Oreochromis niloticus: one gene and its partner. The protein of the gene in region 2 purifies or fractionates together with the protein of the main gene of each other region. This does not show direct contact. Links are inferred from orthologs where the notes say so. Each region holds a gene or a part of one and is shown on either strand. Other genes may lie near its edges.

What was found. Proteins that work in one complex are often made in the same cells at the same time.
Region 1: the proteins of topbp1 (region 2) and cdc45 purify together in Homo sapiens (affinity purification with western blotting; 3 studies listed by BioGRID and IntAct, with this or other methods). This does not show direct contact. The link is inferred for Oreochromis niloticus from reciprocal best matches to the Homo sapiens genes TOPBP1 and CDC45.

The regions. Positions count from the first base shown.
Region 1 is NC_031977.2:25,784,551-25,791,832, forward strand, and holds the start of cdc45 (cell division control protein 45 homolog), read left to right. Parts: upstream 1-4,264; 5' UTR 4,265-4,455; coding exon 4,456-4,506; intron 4,507-4,617; coding exon 4,618-4,677; intron 4,678-5,067; coding exon 5,068-5,160; intron 5,161-5,412; coding exon 5,413-5,550; intron 5,551-6,586; coding exon 6,587-6,733; intron 6,734-6,829; coding exon 6,830-6,888; intron 6,889-6,973; coding exon 6,974-7,022; intron 7,023-7,117; coding exon 7,118-7,179; intron 7,180-7,273; coding exon 7,274-7,282. UniProt on the Homo sapiens protein: Required for initiation of chromosomal DNA replication. Core component of CDC45-MCM-GINS (CMG) helicase, the molecular machine that unwinds template DNA during replication, and around which the replisome is built.
Region 2 is NC_031974.2:14,184,550-14,192,270, reverse strand, and holds the start of topbp1 (DNA topoisomerase 2-binding protein 1), read right to left. Parts: upstream 3,041-7,721; 5' UTR 2,608-3,040; intron 2,439-2,607; 5' UTR 2,432-2,438; coding exon 2,345-2,431; intron 2,257-2,344; coding exon 2,122-2,256; intron 2,036-2,121; coding exon 1,892-2,035; intron 1,804-1,891; coding exon 1,622-1,803; intron 1,488-1,621; coding exon 1,294-1,487; intron 1,212-1,293; coding exon 1,035-1,211; intron 941-1,034; coding exon 771-940; intron 636-770; coding exon 472-635; intron 1-471. Other genes in the region: dnajc13 (dnaJ homolog subfamily C member 13), read right to left, coding at 4,678-4,775, 5,644-5,743, 5,842-5,985, 6,070-6,210, 6,326-6,505, 6,595-6,768, 6,853-6,895, 6,993-7,162 and 3 more. UniProt on the Homo sapiens protein: Scaffold protein that acts as a key protein-protein adapter in DNA replication and DNA repair. Composed of multiple BRCT domains, which specifically recognize and bind phosphorylated proteins, bringing proteins together into functional combinations.

The DNA of each region.
Region 1 (7,282 bases), on a different chromosome or scaffold from region 2:
AGCTTTCTCTTACTAGAAAGTCCAACAATGATGTCAGTTAATCTCATGTATTTTTCCAACTGTGACTTGATGTCTGAAAATTCTGCCGTGACAGTTATTCAGTGTCGAAATGTTTGCTGGGTACAGATGGGATATCTCATTATCATGATGCTGTTCTCCACGTGGCCCAGCTCTGCACACTCTGTGTATTGTGCCTATAGATCACATACTTTACTCACAACAGCTGAGCAGGTTATCTACACAGCCACTGTACAAATAGTCCACCACTCATCAGTCTCTGGCTCAGCTGCTGTGAAAGAGTTTTTCATGTGAGAATCACTTTGTGATTGTTTTATAAACTTGCAACTTTGTAAAGAAGTAGGGTTGAGGCTTAAAGGGAAGCTAACTGCACTCTGAGGTTCATTTCTGTGCATAGACGCCTCCTCTTGTGAGAAGAATCGAAACTCAATGCCTGAGAATTTTTCACCATCTGTTTCGGTCTTTGTGGTTTTGGAGCTGGCTCAGGCTTAAACAAACACTGGGAGCAAACATCAGTGTGTTAGGGGTCAAAGTCCTTGACTGTCCTGTCTGTTCACAGATCAAAATAGCACAAACACACCTAGTAAAACCTCAGAGAAGCATGTTATGACAAGATGACACAGACAGTAAGATGTGATTAAATGATCCAGTGTAATGGAACCTTTGAGCTTAGATGCTAGTGACCACCAGACCGTGTCTCTCTTGGGGTTTCTGGGTAAAACTGCATCTGTCGTGATGCCTGTTATAGCATATCACAACACTAAGATACTTTGTGGTAGAATTTTGTTGTTTTTGATAAGGAATTGGGTAAAGACACAGGATTGTCTTTGTTATACCTGCAAATTAAGAATGTGAAATTAACTTTATGCTGCCATAAAGTGCAGTGGCAGCAGCAGCCTTTCAGTTTAAACTAAGCCTGGCTTGATGTTGGCTGGTCCCATGATTAAATCATAGCTATCAAGAAGTTAAATATTACTTTGACTTTCCCATCTTTTCTGTGGTGTTTTGATGCTTTGATGATGTAAAACTTTGAAAAAAGTCACCACTTTATAGGTAAAACCTTCTTAAACTGCTGAGCACTGTTGTTAAAACAAAAGTGCAATTAATAGGGACTATTTTCAGCTGCGGATGAATAAACATATAACATTCCAGTAGTTTTTGGACAGCAGTGAAGCTCTGTGGCACAGAGGAAAACAGTATTTGTTTTGGTTTTGAACATATATTGGGTTTAGTGATTAAAAGTATATAACACCTCCAAGTGATTCTGTTAAATGAACTTTCATTAGTGCAAACAACTAAGCACTCCTCTTGCATTTAAAGCCAAGTTAACGTAAAACACATTGATCACGCTTATTTATTTTTACTTTATCGAATGCTTTAAAACTTTGTCTTCCTATAATATATGTTCAATGTTCCCATTTTTTGATTTTTTTTTAAATAACTTCTCTGTAAAAAGTTCTCCACAATATTAACATCCTGATGTAGCAGTGCTGCTTTACGCTTCTCACAGTTTTTCCAGTGCCTGCTTTGCTTTAAATGATAAAATCATCTCTGGTGTAACAGGACAGCTCAGCCAATCACGTTATTCCAAGTCACCATAACTGTAAAGCGAGTTAAACGAGTCTTCTCAGGCTTACTGTAGATGGGGTACTGTAGGTACTGTTTTAACCTCTCCAGGCGATGGTGCTACCCTCCCAGTGCTCCTGCTGGTCAGGTTTTTCTCTCCGGCATGTAAACTCCTCGATCGTAATCTCAGACATTTAACACTACAATTTGTGGTTCGGGCGTATTTTGAGTTTTTATTTATTTAATGTATTTTTTTTTTTTCTGTTTGTGTGTTGAACCGGCCAAAGTTTTGCACGGTTAACCCGAGCATAAAAGCAGCTGGATCTCAGTGGTTACAGACCAAACTTGGCATAAAGAAAGCGGATGAATTTTGTGCCTTTGTTTACTACGTTCCTCTCAGTTTATGAATGAAGTATATGCTGCATGTTATGGTGTATGCTCTCTGTCATGTAACTTTTTTTCCTTAATCTACCTTTTTTTTTGTTTGTTTTTGTTTCCAGTGTATTCACTTGTAAAGAAACTACACAGTGAATATGGCATGCTGCTTTTTTTTTTTTAACCTCAGAAAGAAACGTGTCATTTCCTTTTACTCAGTGGATTAATTGTTGGTGGACTCAAAAGTGAAGACGTGTGTGGATAATGTCAAATTTTTACAAAATGAGACAAGAGGAGAGAAATCGTATCTGAATTTCTTTGACAGATGTTTTGGGGTTGGTGTACAAGTATGTTTACTTTTGGGGGAATGCAGGATTTTACTTGAATTTTTAATATTTGTAACTTTAGAAGTGGTTAGGATGAAAATGGGAGCAAAGTTGTGGGTAAACTTTGAAGGTATGACTCACCCTGAAGTCGGACATACACATTTTTCCTCCAGCCTGTAGTGGTGTCTATAATCTTAAATAAAAGGAGCTAAATGTCCATAGTCAAAGAAAAAAATCTGAATTTTAAAATGTAATTTGGGGATCTCTAAGCTACAGAGTCAAGCACCATAAAGACAAAAAGATTTCTACAGCTGATTTCTACCAATCTGACCAACTCGTACTAGAATTGTCTTGATGAATAAACAAGGAAAAATCTGTAAGTTAGATTTTTGGGGTGAACTGTCCCTTTAAGGCAAAAAAAGTTCATTAGGCTGCTGCGTTTTCATAAAATCCTGCATGTTTCACACATATTTTTGTCATTGCTTCCATCCATTCTGTTAATTTATGTAATTTCAGGGCATTCAGAGTGATGTTGGGGGATTCTGCTGAGACTTTACTGTTTGCTTTGTTCATGCCATGATCGTACAGCTCATTCTGCTTATGCTTATGTGCTGTTTGTGTTGTGATGCTTTTAATGAATCTCCCCATGACACTGAATGATCTCTTGTCCTTTGTGTGTTTTCTTTGGAGTCAGCAGTCCTGGTTTTGAGTTTGTATGTGATGATGGATGATTAATAAATGAGTTTAAAACGCATGTGCATATCAAATTATGACACACCAGTATTTGTAGATGATGTATTGGGAGATAATGTCCTGGATATTGTATGTATTTACATATTGTGTGTGGTAATAATTCAGATTTTTAAACCTCTAATCAAAGCTGTCACGCGTGCCACCTCTCTTTTTGTAGTTTTTCACCTATTAAAATCAAACTGAAGCATGTAGTTCTGCTGGTTGCCAAAAATATAGAAACAAGTCTCCTCTTTGGAAATTATTTTACGGTATTTTAAGTAATGACTTCCCAGTGTAATGGACAGTTGGTGGGTGGATAGTTTAGCAGACGTTAGGGTGTGTAAATCAGATTCAGGTAGTGACACACAAAAAAACAATTGAACACACCTTTTTTTTTATATATATAATAGAATTCAGTTCGACTTGTTTTGTGAGTTTGCGGGAGAAGTTTTCTTTCAAGGCTTTTTGCCAGACAAGCTCATGAGATACATTTATATAATATTTAAGTGGAAAGAGGTGGGGCAAAATCCTTTCCAATATGTTTTAATCTAAATCAATGAAGTACTTCTTAAAATTTCAGTCTATAACAGCTTTTATCATTAAAGTGTAAAAATGTGTGATGACTGCCACTTCTATAGCTATGCCAATGACAACATCTTTAATAGTACATATTTGTAAAGTGTGTGTCACTACTGAGCTCCAGATTTACATTAATAAATTTATGCTCGGTTAAGTGAACCTCTCATATAAATCCACATTTTTTTCTGTTATTGTAACCACACAGTGGAAACTCTACAATTTTGTGAATGTGTGAAGTGTGTGCATAAGTCATTGTTTTAGAATTTTTACAGACTTAAAACAGTATGGTACAGAGATCATAGTTAACTCTGTGAGGTTTTTGCTTTTTTATTAAATTGTTTAATCTATATCTTTCTCCAAAATATAGAAGTAGAGAGAGGTTACCATCTATAATTATTTATAATATTATAAATTCACTCTTGAGGTAATATAAATGTAAACGCTAATGTTAAAATAATATTGTGTTCTTAATAAAGTCTAAAGGAGTTTACACATATTATAAAAACATCGTTATGACATCGTTTTAAATAAATTAATAAATATTTCAAATCAATATAAATAAAGCTATAACTTTATTTCAGCTCTTTTTAGTCCCAGCACTGCTCTGTTTTCTCAACCTGGTAGGCGTGACTTCCGGCGTTTGACGTTGCTGATTTTCTTTTCTTTCTGATTGGTCGGGAGTGACGTGTAGATTTGGCGCCACATTTCCAACAGGGAACAGAGCGGCATCGCTGTGTGTGTATTGTCAAAGCTCCGAGCCTGACAGCAAACCAAAATAACCCGCAGTTTATGCCACCTCAGGGTGATTAGATTAGGCTCGTCTTATTTCAATAGTTTTAATCGACTGACTTCTCTGAAAATGTTCATCGCGGACATAAGAAAAGATTTTTATGAAGTTGTCGCCAACCAGGTAAGGCTAACTCTTAACATTAGCCAACATTGCCTAGCAGCTAGGAAACTTAACATCTGACATCGCAAACTGAAATCGCTTACATTATAAACCTTCTCGTGCTACTTACAGAGAGTCGTACTCCTGGTGGCACCAGACATTGACGCTCTCTGCGCCTGTAAAATACTGCAGGTAAGACAATAAAATGTTAGCAAGCGGCAGCTCCTGTAGCCTTTGCGTGCACAGTCTTTGATTGTTTTTCCCTGTTATTTTGCCTCTCTTGTTCTAGTGGCTTTTATGCATGATGACGGATATTTGCGCTCTTAAACTAAGGTCATTGTAGAGGGTAAACAGAGAGCACGCTGATTAAATACTTCTAGTTATTATGGACTTATGGACACCCAACCGTACTGTCGTAATGGGGAGGTTACCATCTGTTCATGTGTTAACTGGGAATATTTAAAAGTACTGACAGTAGGTTTCAGTAAGTGCCTGTTGCAGTTTATGGAGCTTTTTTGACTTTTACTGTGTTCAGAGTAATTATAAGCTGATGTAAACACTGACTGCTTGTGTCTTCACTAGGCCTTGTTTCACTGTGACCAGATCCAGTATACACTTGTGCCAGTTACAGGCTGGCAGGACCTTGGCACTGCCTTCCTTGAACACAAAGAGCAGGTATACTTAAATAAGACCAGAAGGCTGTGCTGCAAAGCGAGATTGACGTTAACACGTTATTTTAAGCCAGTATGAAGGTGTCTCTCTTTTAGCTTTTTGAGATCACCATGGAAACGTTTGCTTTTTTTATGTGTTTCTGCTTGAGAACCTGAAGAGGAAAGCTTTGTAGTACACTACTCTGAGCCTGTATATAAATATATGACAGTAAACACTGAACCTTGTGTATTGTGTTGGCTGATTTTTGTGCTGCAGTTTCGATACTTTGTTCTCATCAACTGCGGAGCAAATGTTGACCTCCTTGAGATGCTGCAGCCAGATGATGACTCCATCTTCTTCATCTGTGACACTCACCGGCCTGTAGATGTGGTCAATGTCTACAATGATACCCAGGTGATGTGCAATGGTTTGCTAAATCAGGCTACATCCCCACTAATAAGTTCACATAAGTTCACGGGCTAGGGTCTACCCCACAGAGCCTCAGAGTGGCACAGGGATTCACTCAAGGCATGAGAAGAGAAGGATCAGATGGTGTCAGGGCTGTAGGACTCAGCTCAGTGGCAGAAGTTTGATGAGGATGTGGATGCAGTGTTCGACCCTACAGCTAAAGGGGACGTAAAAAGTTTTCGAACCATGATGGCCATCATAGTGAGCATGGTAGTGGAGACGTTTGGAGTGCAAGATGAAAGAAAGGCCAAGTTGATGTATTATTTTAAAGCAGAAGGGGGAAAAAACAATTCTGTATATGTGAATTAAAACCCCCCCCAAAAAAACATGCTTCTCACCTCATCAGTCTCATCAGTTTGTCTCAGGAGCCAAATAACAACACACACATTTCCTCCAATTCTGTTTGGCGATGTGTATAGTCTGTCCACTGGTATGTGTGTGTTTAACAATATTAACCACTAGTTTGCCTGTAGAGCCAGGCTCTTCAGAAGGTGTTTGTGACCATTGCTTAGTCCACAGGAGAATAGCCAAGGTAAAGAAATGTAAAACCTTTACAAGCATCAAAGTCCAAAACTTTAGAAATAGTTGTTGTTAAAATAAGTCCAAAATACATAAATCAACCATTTTTACTCCACATTCTCTCCAGCATCTCGGTAAAGTGCCCAGCTAGTTAAGTATAAGATTTTTCTTAATTTCTGTGACTGATAATGTCCAGCGGGCAAAGTTAGCGTAGGGGCCTTTAAATATGTAGATAAAGTCTCCTTTTTGCCCATCAGGACTACAGATGGAAGCACCCTTGTGTTATTGTGCTGTACTGTATTTGCATTCTGGTACAAAACCTCAAATAGTTCATTATCTTTATGCATTTCACTGTAAACAATGATCCATTTGCACCTGAAGTTCATTGCATGTAAGATTAACAATACTCCCACTTGTTTGTGGAAGTGAGCGTTACATTAACTCTCTGTCTTCTGCTCAACAGATTAAGCTGCTCATCAAACAGGATGACGACCTCGGCGTGCCGTCGTATGACGATATCTTTCGAGATGAAGATGAGGAAGGAGAAGACTCTGGAAATGAGAGCGATGAAGGCTCAGAGCCGTCTGGGAAACGCAGGAGATTTGATGAGGTACGCATTAAACCGAGTAGGTGCTGCCCGCTGGAATGAACTGGTAGAGTGAACTGTTAAGGCTGTTACACTGGGGCTGTGGTCCTGTGTTTGCAGGGGGCTGTCGAAAGGAGAATTGAAAGGCAGCGAGCGAAGAGGGAGTGGGAGGCTCGAAGGTGAAGTGTTTTTACTTAGTTGTTTGGTTCTTTCTCTGCACAGCACAACTGTTGAATGCAAGCTTACCTTTCATTAATTTCACAGGAGGGAAATCCTGTTTGACTATGAGCAGTATGAATATCACGGCACCTCGGTGAGTTTTGACAACCTCACATGAGTAATATAGGAACATTAATGTTACCTGAAATTCTGAATGAACTCCTGAATTTTCATTTGTTTTCCTGTCAGGCTGCGATGATGTTTTTTGAGCTTGCGTGGGTTTTGACTAAAGATACCAAGGACATGCTGTGGTGAGCTTTCTGAGGAGATGTCATCTTTCATGGCAAACATTCTTGAGATACAGTTTATACGGTCTGTTAGATGTGCACTGCTTCTTCTTTGCAGGTGGGCCAT
Region 2 (7,721 bases):
TCCAACATTCTGTGTTTAAGAGCTGAGACGACCAACTATTTTAAAGACAAATGTTTCAAATTCTTGTTTAATATAAGATTTTAGCTCTTCAATGGTTACTTTGACTTACTTTTTGTATTATAATGAGTCAGTGGGTGATGGACCCATTAGCATCTGGACTTTTTTTTACTATAAAGCTGCTGTTTTAATACATGCAGAAAGGATATTAAAGTGGGCAAAAAGCAGCCAGGATCCAGCTTTGACTCCTGGATCAAACCACGCAATTCTCCCTTGTTGCTGAATTCTGTTGAGAATTGGATAAACCTAGAATCTCCATTTCTCAGTGTGTAATAGCCTTTAGTGTAAATTATTATTATGCAGTCCAACCAAACATATTTTGGTATGAAGGGAAACATTAGAATCTCCAAGTTATTGTATTAATACAGAGGATATAAATATCATGAAGGTTATTAAAAGCTCTGTAGTTCAGACCTGTGAGTTGCTTTGGAAAGAAAATTATTGAGGTCCTGGTCCAGCTCGCCCATGACCACATGAGAGAGCTCCTCCCTGGGTTGGTTGAAGCGCAGACCTCCTGCAGCATTTACAAGACGCCGTAACTTCTCCAGTTTCTTCCCTGGCAGGCCACACAGATACAGCTGTGTGACATTTAACACAAAGTGACAGAAAGCCTTAAGTTTATCATTTATAGACTCAACTAAATTCAACTACAGAAATGAAAGGGGAAATACATAAAATCTATATAAAAAGAAAACTGCAGACCATCGACTTACCTTACAGCCATCCAATAAATCATCAGCAGGGCACACGGTAAGATCCAGACTCTCTATGGGGTCTGGAGCTTCCAGGTGGCTCACAGTGCTGTTATTGGTGAGAGCCGTGTCGTTTATTGTCCTGCTAGTGTTCACAGAAATGTTGCTCAAGCCCAACAGTGATGGACCCTCTGGAGATGAAAAACATAACTCTTTAATCATTAAAGAAAAACAGGTTCTGAATTATTGTGGTAAACCTTTCTCATCTTATCAAATGCGACTCACCGTCCTTCTTACTGGTACCAGTAGGTGTGGAAGTGTGTGGCCGAGTGGTTTTTGAAGCATTGCGCTCCACAGTGTACCTGCTTTCATCTTGACAGTAGCCCTTCTCTATGCTGTCAAAGAGCCAGTGCAAAGAAACGCAATACACATTCCACTTCCGAGCACACTCGTACTTCTGACCTACAACCAAGTACGATTGATAACAATCAATGACACACAAATGATGGCATTACATCACTTTTTTAAAATACTGGTGACTTACCTGTTGGTTCATTAACGATGAGGTGTGTACACTCATTCATTTTGAGCTGACCGGTGTAGTTGGCCCCATGCTGCTCACAAAGTCTTTGTACTTCTTTGCGCTCTGTGCTGGACAGACCTGTCACACAAACACTACAGCCACGCAGCACAGGGCAAAGGTAGTCCTCTAAGGGCAGGTCTGTATATCTGAAAAGACTGGAAAAGGAGTACAAAGACATCATTCATGTTTTTGTAAATGTACAGTGATTTAAAATGTGAATTTGTACCAAACAGGAAACACAAGTCTTCATGTATTTAATAGATGTAGCCATGTAAATCACAATACATACCTATCCTGTGATTTCTCCCAGCAGGCTTTGACCCACGTAGGCAACAGGATGGGTTTACTGAGGCTGGCTGCTACCAGGTATTTTTTGCTGCCCACCTCTTCTGCAATCAGGTGTGTAACAGATACGTTTAGATCCGAATAGGCCCGTCCACCCATGAGCTGCACCAGATCCATCAGCTCTTCCTGGAGTGTGAGAGAAAGTATGGACATAAACATGTCACAGTGCTTCATATTTCATTAAAATGTATATAGCAGACTCCGGATTTCTTACCCGTATTGCTCTGTCCATGCTGGTGCAGCAAATGGTGACATCAGCCATGGCCATGTTATAGACAGGTTTCTCTGCTTTGGGGACACAACGCTGTTGCTGCAGGCAGTACAACACCACCAGTGGACTCACTATTCTGCAACCAAGCTGCACAGGAAATCCAAAAAACAAGAGTCAATCTCTGATAGAGCCTCAGGAGTGACATTTCACTGTTTAAAAGTGTATAGTTCAACCTTCTTGCAGTGAAGAAAGGCTGGAGATGTAAAACTGGTGAACACAAACAGAGACTTGTCCTTCTTATCCATGCGCAAAACATCATCTTCTGTGATGGTTTTCAAATGTTTTTCAGACTGCAGCTCCAAAATGGCCTGAATAAACCGAAGACAAACATGATTACAAATTTGTAAAACAAAGAGACAGTAAACACTAAAAGAAAGACTGGGCAGTAGAGCTTACCTCATAAGCTTTGGCAGCACAGTCTTTTTTTGATCCTTCACTTTCCACAAACTTCACAATGAAGGCTTCTTTTTCTGCCTTAGACATGGTGACCCTGTACCAGTGACAAGACCTGGCATTTATTATAATGGCTGTGGCTGGCCTTAGCAGTAGCGTCTAAATTAAAAATGATCACCTACAAAGATTAAGGTATGACTAAGCACCGCCATAAATTCAACACTGGCCTGCTATTAGCTTAAAATAATAACTTACTAGTTACTTACCTTTAATAGAAGAGCTCAAGAGCGCCAGTAAAGACAGCCTGTGTATTCCGACGGGAATCAGTATAAACTCTGATTAGTCATAGGGAGCTAGTTTTACGTTAGTGCGGCTTGTCAGCGAGTTGAAGCTTGTGAAGGCTGCTGTCACTTTTTAGAAAGCCTACACTGACTTTGTTAGCTGCGCAACATAAACTTGCGAGCTAACGTTCAAACCTGCATGTAGCTCAGTTACAACATAAAAACATCCAAAAACTAGCACTGCTCATGTTATCTTAAACCAACAGTCCAACCAAAAGTCCCGAGATATGGGTTTAACTAACTGACATACATTTTAAAACAATTTAATCGTAACAGTTTAGAGATACAAATTGTGATCTTTGTTGATAGTGTTCGCGCCTTTGGCGCAACTTCCGGCGTTACCTGCTAATCTGACCGACTGGAGTGAACGTTTCAAAGGTTCCGCTACAGACACGAGAAAGTGAATCGGGGATGATAAACGATATATTAATGTGTTAAAAATTAGAAACTTGAAAACCTCACTGAAGGGACTTGTTTTGTTTCTTTTTTTAAATTTTGACATAAATATATTAAAACCGTTGTCATGTTTAGCACATTTTCCCTATTCATGTTGCCCTCAATAGCAGCTGTATTGAGTTTTTATGAATTTCCTTGACTTACCGTCAGGCTTGTGAGGTGAGACCTAGTCCCTAATTCATGGCATCTATGTAGCTGGTGTAATCCACTATAAATTCAATATCCACATCCGTGAAAAGTTATGGTTCTCAAATAGACTGACATAATATAAACGACATAACTTTATAAAACATTCGCGTTTATAACAAAGCACAACCATATTGCCCAAGGTCTCAAATATATGAAATTGATTCTTGTATAAAAACATTTTACTGCAAAAGTAATTGGATTGAGAAATATTTTGATATACGCCCCCCCTTCATCTCTCTCTCTCTCAATAAACAGACTTGACATCTATAAACATTGTGAACAGGAAAGACAAGTAGAACAACACTGTGGGTTCCCTTTTATTCTTAAAATTTTATGTACAAGTGTCGACTGATTTTTTTTTTCAATGTACATTCAATATAAAGTTTATATACGCAATATTACATTGAACATTTCACAAATTGCACTAGTCTTTCACATAGATTGGTAATCAGAGTCAATGTCATTCGTCATGTCAGCAGAAGCTCATTTCAGGTGGTTATTATTCACTCATAAATATTCTAGTGCTTTTTGCATTCTGGGGGAGAGTTACTTTAAAAAATATGAGGCAGAAAAGAGTAGCCTTCAAAGAGAGAGCAGAATGAAGTATGAATAAGATCAGAGGAAAAAGAGGCTGGATATTATGAGAGCTCTGTGTCATCTTTGACAGAAGAGGACTGAAGGTGACCTGATCAAAGCAGACCAGAGGTCAGCAGGTCTAAGGGGTTAAAGTGGCATTTTCTTTTGGAGAAACAGGCCAGAGAAATCATACACATCCTTCATGTCCCGTGATTTTTTTTTTCTTTTCCACATGAGAATGCGTTAATATAGACAGGTAAACAAAATGTTTATTTCAGTGGTGGATAGGTCCTGTGCACTTATTCGTCACAAATGAGGCCTCAAAGGAGATGTAAGGTTAAGGTAGCCAATCAGGATATGCCAAAGAGAAAAAAAAAATAACAAAAAAGAAGCCTCAGTCTTCCCATGGCTGTCTAATGAAAAAAAAAAAATCAAGAGTAAAAAATATATTCATACAAAAAGTAAAGTCTTCTCTGTCATTAGAAGAAATAAGAAAAGTAGAACAGAAACTAAACAAATGTGGTCATCCATTAAAACAAAGCATTTCTGAAGACTTGAGTGTCATTTGTAAGGGGCAAAGCAGAGTGACGCTGCAGGAGGTGTCGCAGAGGTTTTGGTGACAGTCAATGATGGCCCGCTCTCTCACTCTTCTTTTTTCTTTTGTTTTGTTTTCCTCTCAACATCCCCTCCATGTGGGGAGCTGAACAGTCCCTCTCTGAGCTGCGGCCGTGAAGCTGCACTCTGGGTGCCTGAGCCTTTCATTGTGCGTGTCCTTCAGCCTTGGTCTCCAGTGTCATTGTCCACAGGGGGTGGGACGTTGGGCATTACTGTGGTGCCCGTTCCTGCTGTAAGGTAACCTGCTACTCCTGGACCTACATATGACAGCAAGGCAGAAGAGACAGTTCAGATGTAAATTACAAGGATAGATGCAGGGCTAATGGGGAGCTAGAATGATGTACTACACACTAAGACATCAAGCATGGATGGGATGATCGCTACACTGGCTACAATGTTTTGCAGGGACTTTAATGTTTTCCATGGGCTTAATTTACTTACTATGTAAACGACTAATTGATAATTTTCTAGAAAATCTGATTTTTTTTAAAAACTATTTTCTATGTTTTTCCCTTGTAATTCTACATTTCAGCCTTTTTTTTAAAAAAAATCTGTATTTCTTTAAATGCTGGGTACATATTGCATACATAACACAAGCTGCCTGTGTTTTCAACACACTGTTGTGGATCCAGAATGGGTGTTAAGAGATAATGAATTATTTTCAGTGTGAGTAAAATGAAATGGGTGGGAATGGAGAATGGCATGTGCAGCCAGGATGGAGGTAAAGAGAAAAGGAATGACGGTAGGAGCCAGGACAGTCTACCTGCATCAGAGCAAAAGAGAGGAGGGCTGTGAGGGCCCAGTTCAGGAGTCTAGAGCCCACCTCGCAGTGGGCTGCTGGCGGCCAGGAGAGAAGGAGTGGAAACCCCTGAGGAGGAAATGTGGAGGAAAAAAGAGGAAGGGAAGAGCAGAGCCAGGAAGTTATAGGACAGCTGGGTTTAAGCACAAGTGAGGAGTCAGCCATAAGGTGTTTTGGCTTTTTAGGGTAAAGCAAAGCATTAAGATTCATCATCAGCTCAGAGAAAGATGCAGAAGACTTACCTTTTAAAGCACTTTATATTTTAACAGTTTAGCTTGTTATTCAGGTTAATCAGCACTTCTAATATGTAAAAAGGAAAACTTTACCTGTCAGGTAACCTGCAGTCTGAGAGTCTGAGATGAAAAGATCGTGTTTCTGGTCTTTGAAGGCACTCCATACTGAAGACTTTGCAAGAATTTCGTTCACCTGTGGGGAAAAAAAGCAATAAGCAAGAGTTTAAATATTTGATTGTTATATAAAAAAATCATACCAATCATTTGATGACTTCAATAATCCGATCATACCTGCTCTCCATACTGTAGACTACGAGTCATGGACTTCAGAGCTTTAACTATCTGGGCCTTAGTAGCTGAAGGGTTTTCTAACGTCTCCAGGCCGATTCCTTCCAGTAATTTCAAGAGGTATGGAACCAGCTCCACCCTCAGAGCCTGTTAAGTTGTTATAGAAAGTTCCATTAAGGACACATGAAACACAGTGAGGGATAATAACAGGTGACAAAGGTGACAGTGCACCTGGGCAACTAGGTCTGTCTGCTCCTTCTGGAACATGCGGTTGAGAGCTTCACAAGCCAATCCAGCCATGTCCGCCCGAACCTTCATCCCGGTCATCAGAGGGCCAATAGTCTCCAGAGAAGCCATGGACCGTACACACAGCTACACGAAACAAAGCATATTTTAGTTGATGTGGGTGAGGTGTCACTTGTACATAAAAAATTTAAACTGGCTGGTTCTGATTTTTTGTAGTCTTGCATTAAAATTAGTTTCTTACCTCATTATCTGATAGTACATGGATGAGGCGGATGGAGCTCTTAGGCACGGCATTGTTCTTGTGGTTGAGTGCCGCCAAGATCCGAGGCAGGTGGCCCAGAGGAGGGACCTGGTCGGCCAGCTGGCACTGTGTGCTGAACAGACAAACTGCCGCTGTGGTAACCGTCTCCAGGGCCTCACCCTGCAGAAGATAATAGAATAAGACAGAAAAAGTCTAACTTCTGCATTCACTAGAAATTTGTACAGTCGTTTCTCAGTTAGGAAGCTCACATTGGGATTGTTCTTCTCCAGGAGCTCAGTCAGGGTTTCCAGAAGTGACACCAGGAACTCTCGAGGCTTGCGTAGCACCCACCCAGGCTGAGCAATAAAGATGCGCAAGAAGACTCCACCAACTTCAAGCTCACCCTGTCCGGCTCCATAAGCCACTGTAAAGTCTTCTGGCAACTGAGCACACAGATTAGGAGTTTAGTTTGACATTCATAGTTCCTACAGATACACCAACTTATAATAATGAGTTCTCATACTTACTTTCCAGTTCACATCAGGATTATCTTTCTGCTGTTTAAAGTGCCTGGAAAAGATTTAAAGTGATTTAGTACAAGACATGAAACATCCTATTAGAGTGTCTAACTATTCTTTATCTGGTTAAAACAGTGTTTGTCACATACTCAAGCATCATCTCCCGGACAGTAGTAGACACTTTCTCCCTTGAGCTGTCATTCCAGATGAGCTCAGGGTTTTCGTGCGTTCCCTCAAATATGTGAACTGCTGCCTCAGCATTGTCCCGCATGGCATCCATGAATACACCAGGGAGGAAACGCATCAGTGTTAGACGCACCTAAAAGAGAAAGCAGAATATGAAACAGCAAAAGTGAGTTGACGATATGTCATGACGCATCATAAAGTAAAAGGGAGATGAGACTGATTAAGCCTTTCATTTATTTTTTTAACTCCAATCTGACCTTTGGCCCAACCAGCTTGTCTGAAGTCATCTTTGAGAAGAGCTCTGCAGTCTGTGTGCGAACCTGGGGGTGTGTGCAATTACAGAAGAGGTCCAGCAAATAGATCAGAGCACCTGCAGGACATAAAGATTAACAGAAACATCTGTGATTCAAAATTCAGATAAACGTAGCCAGCAATCAATAACAAACAAACAACAACAAAAACAAACAAACAGTAGAACACTGACCTTTGGCCATTGCCTCTTTGACGATCTTTGTGTTAGACGTGAGTGCATAGAGGGTTTCCAGCACCATCTGCCTGCCTGAAGGACACAAAGGAGTATTGAAGTGTGAAGATGCATTACAGGGATAGGGAGAAGAGGAAAGACAAAGAGTATGACAGTCAGTTGTGTCTTCTTACTGGAAGGAAGTGAGTGCAGCAGCACCAGAAGGTTG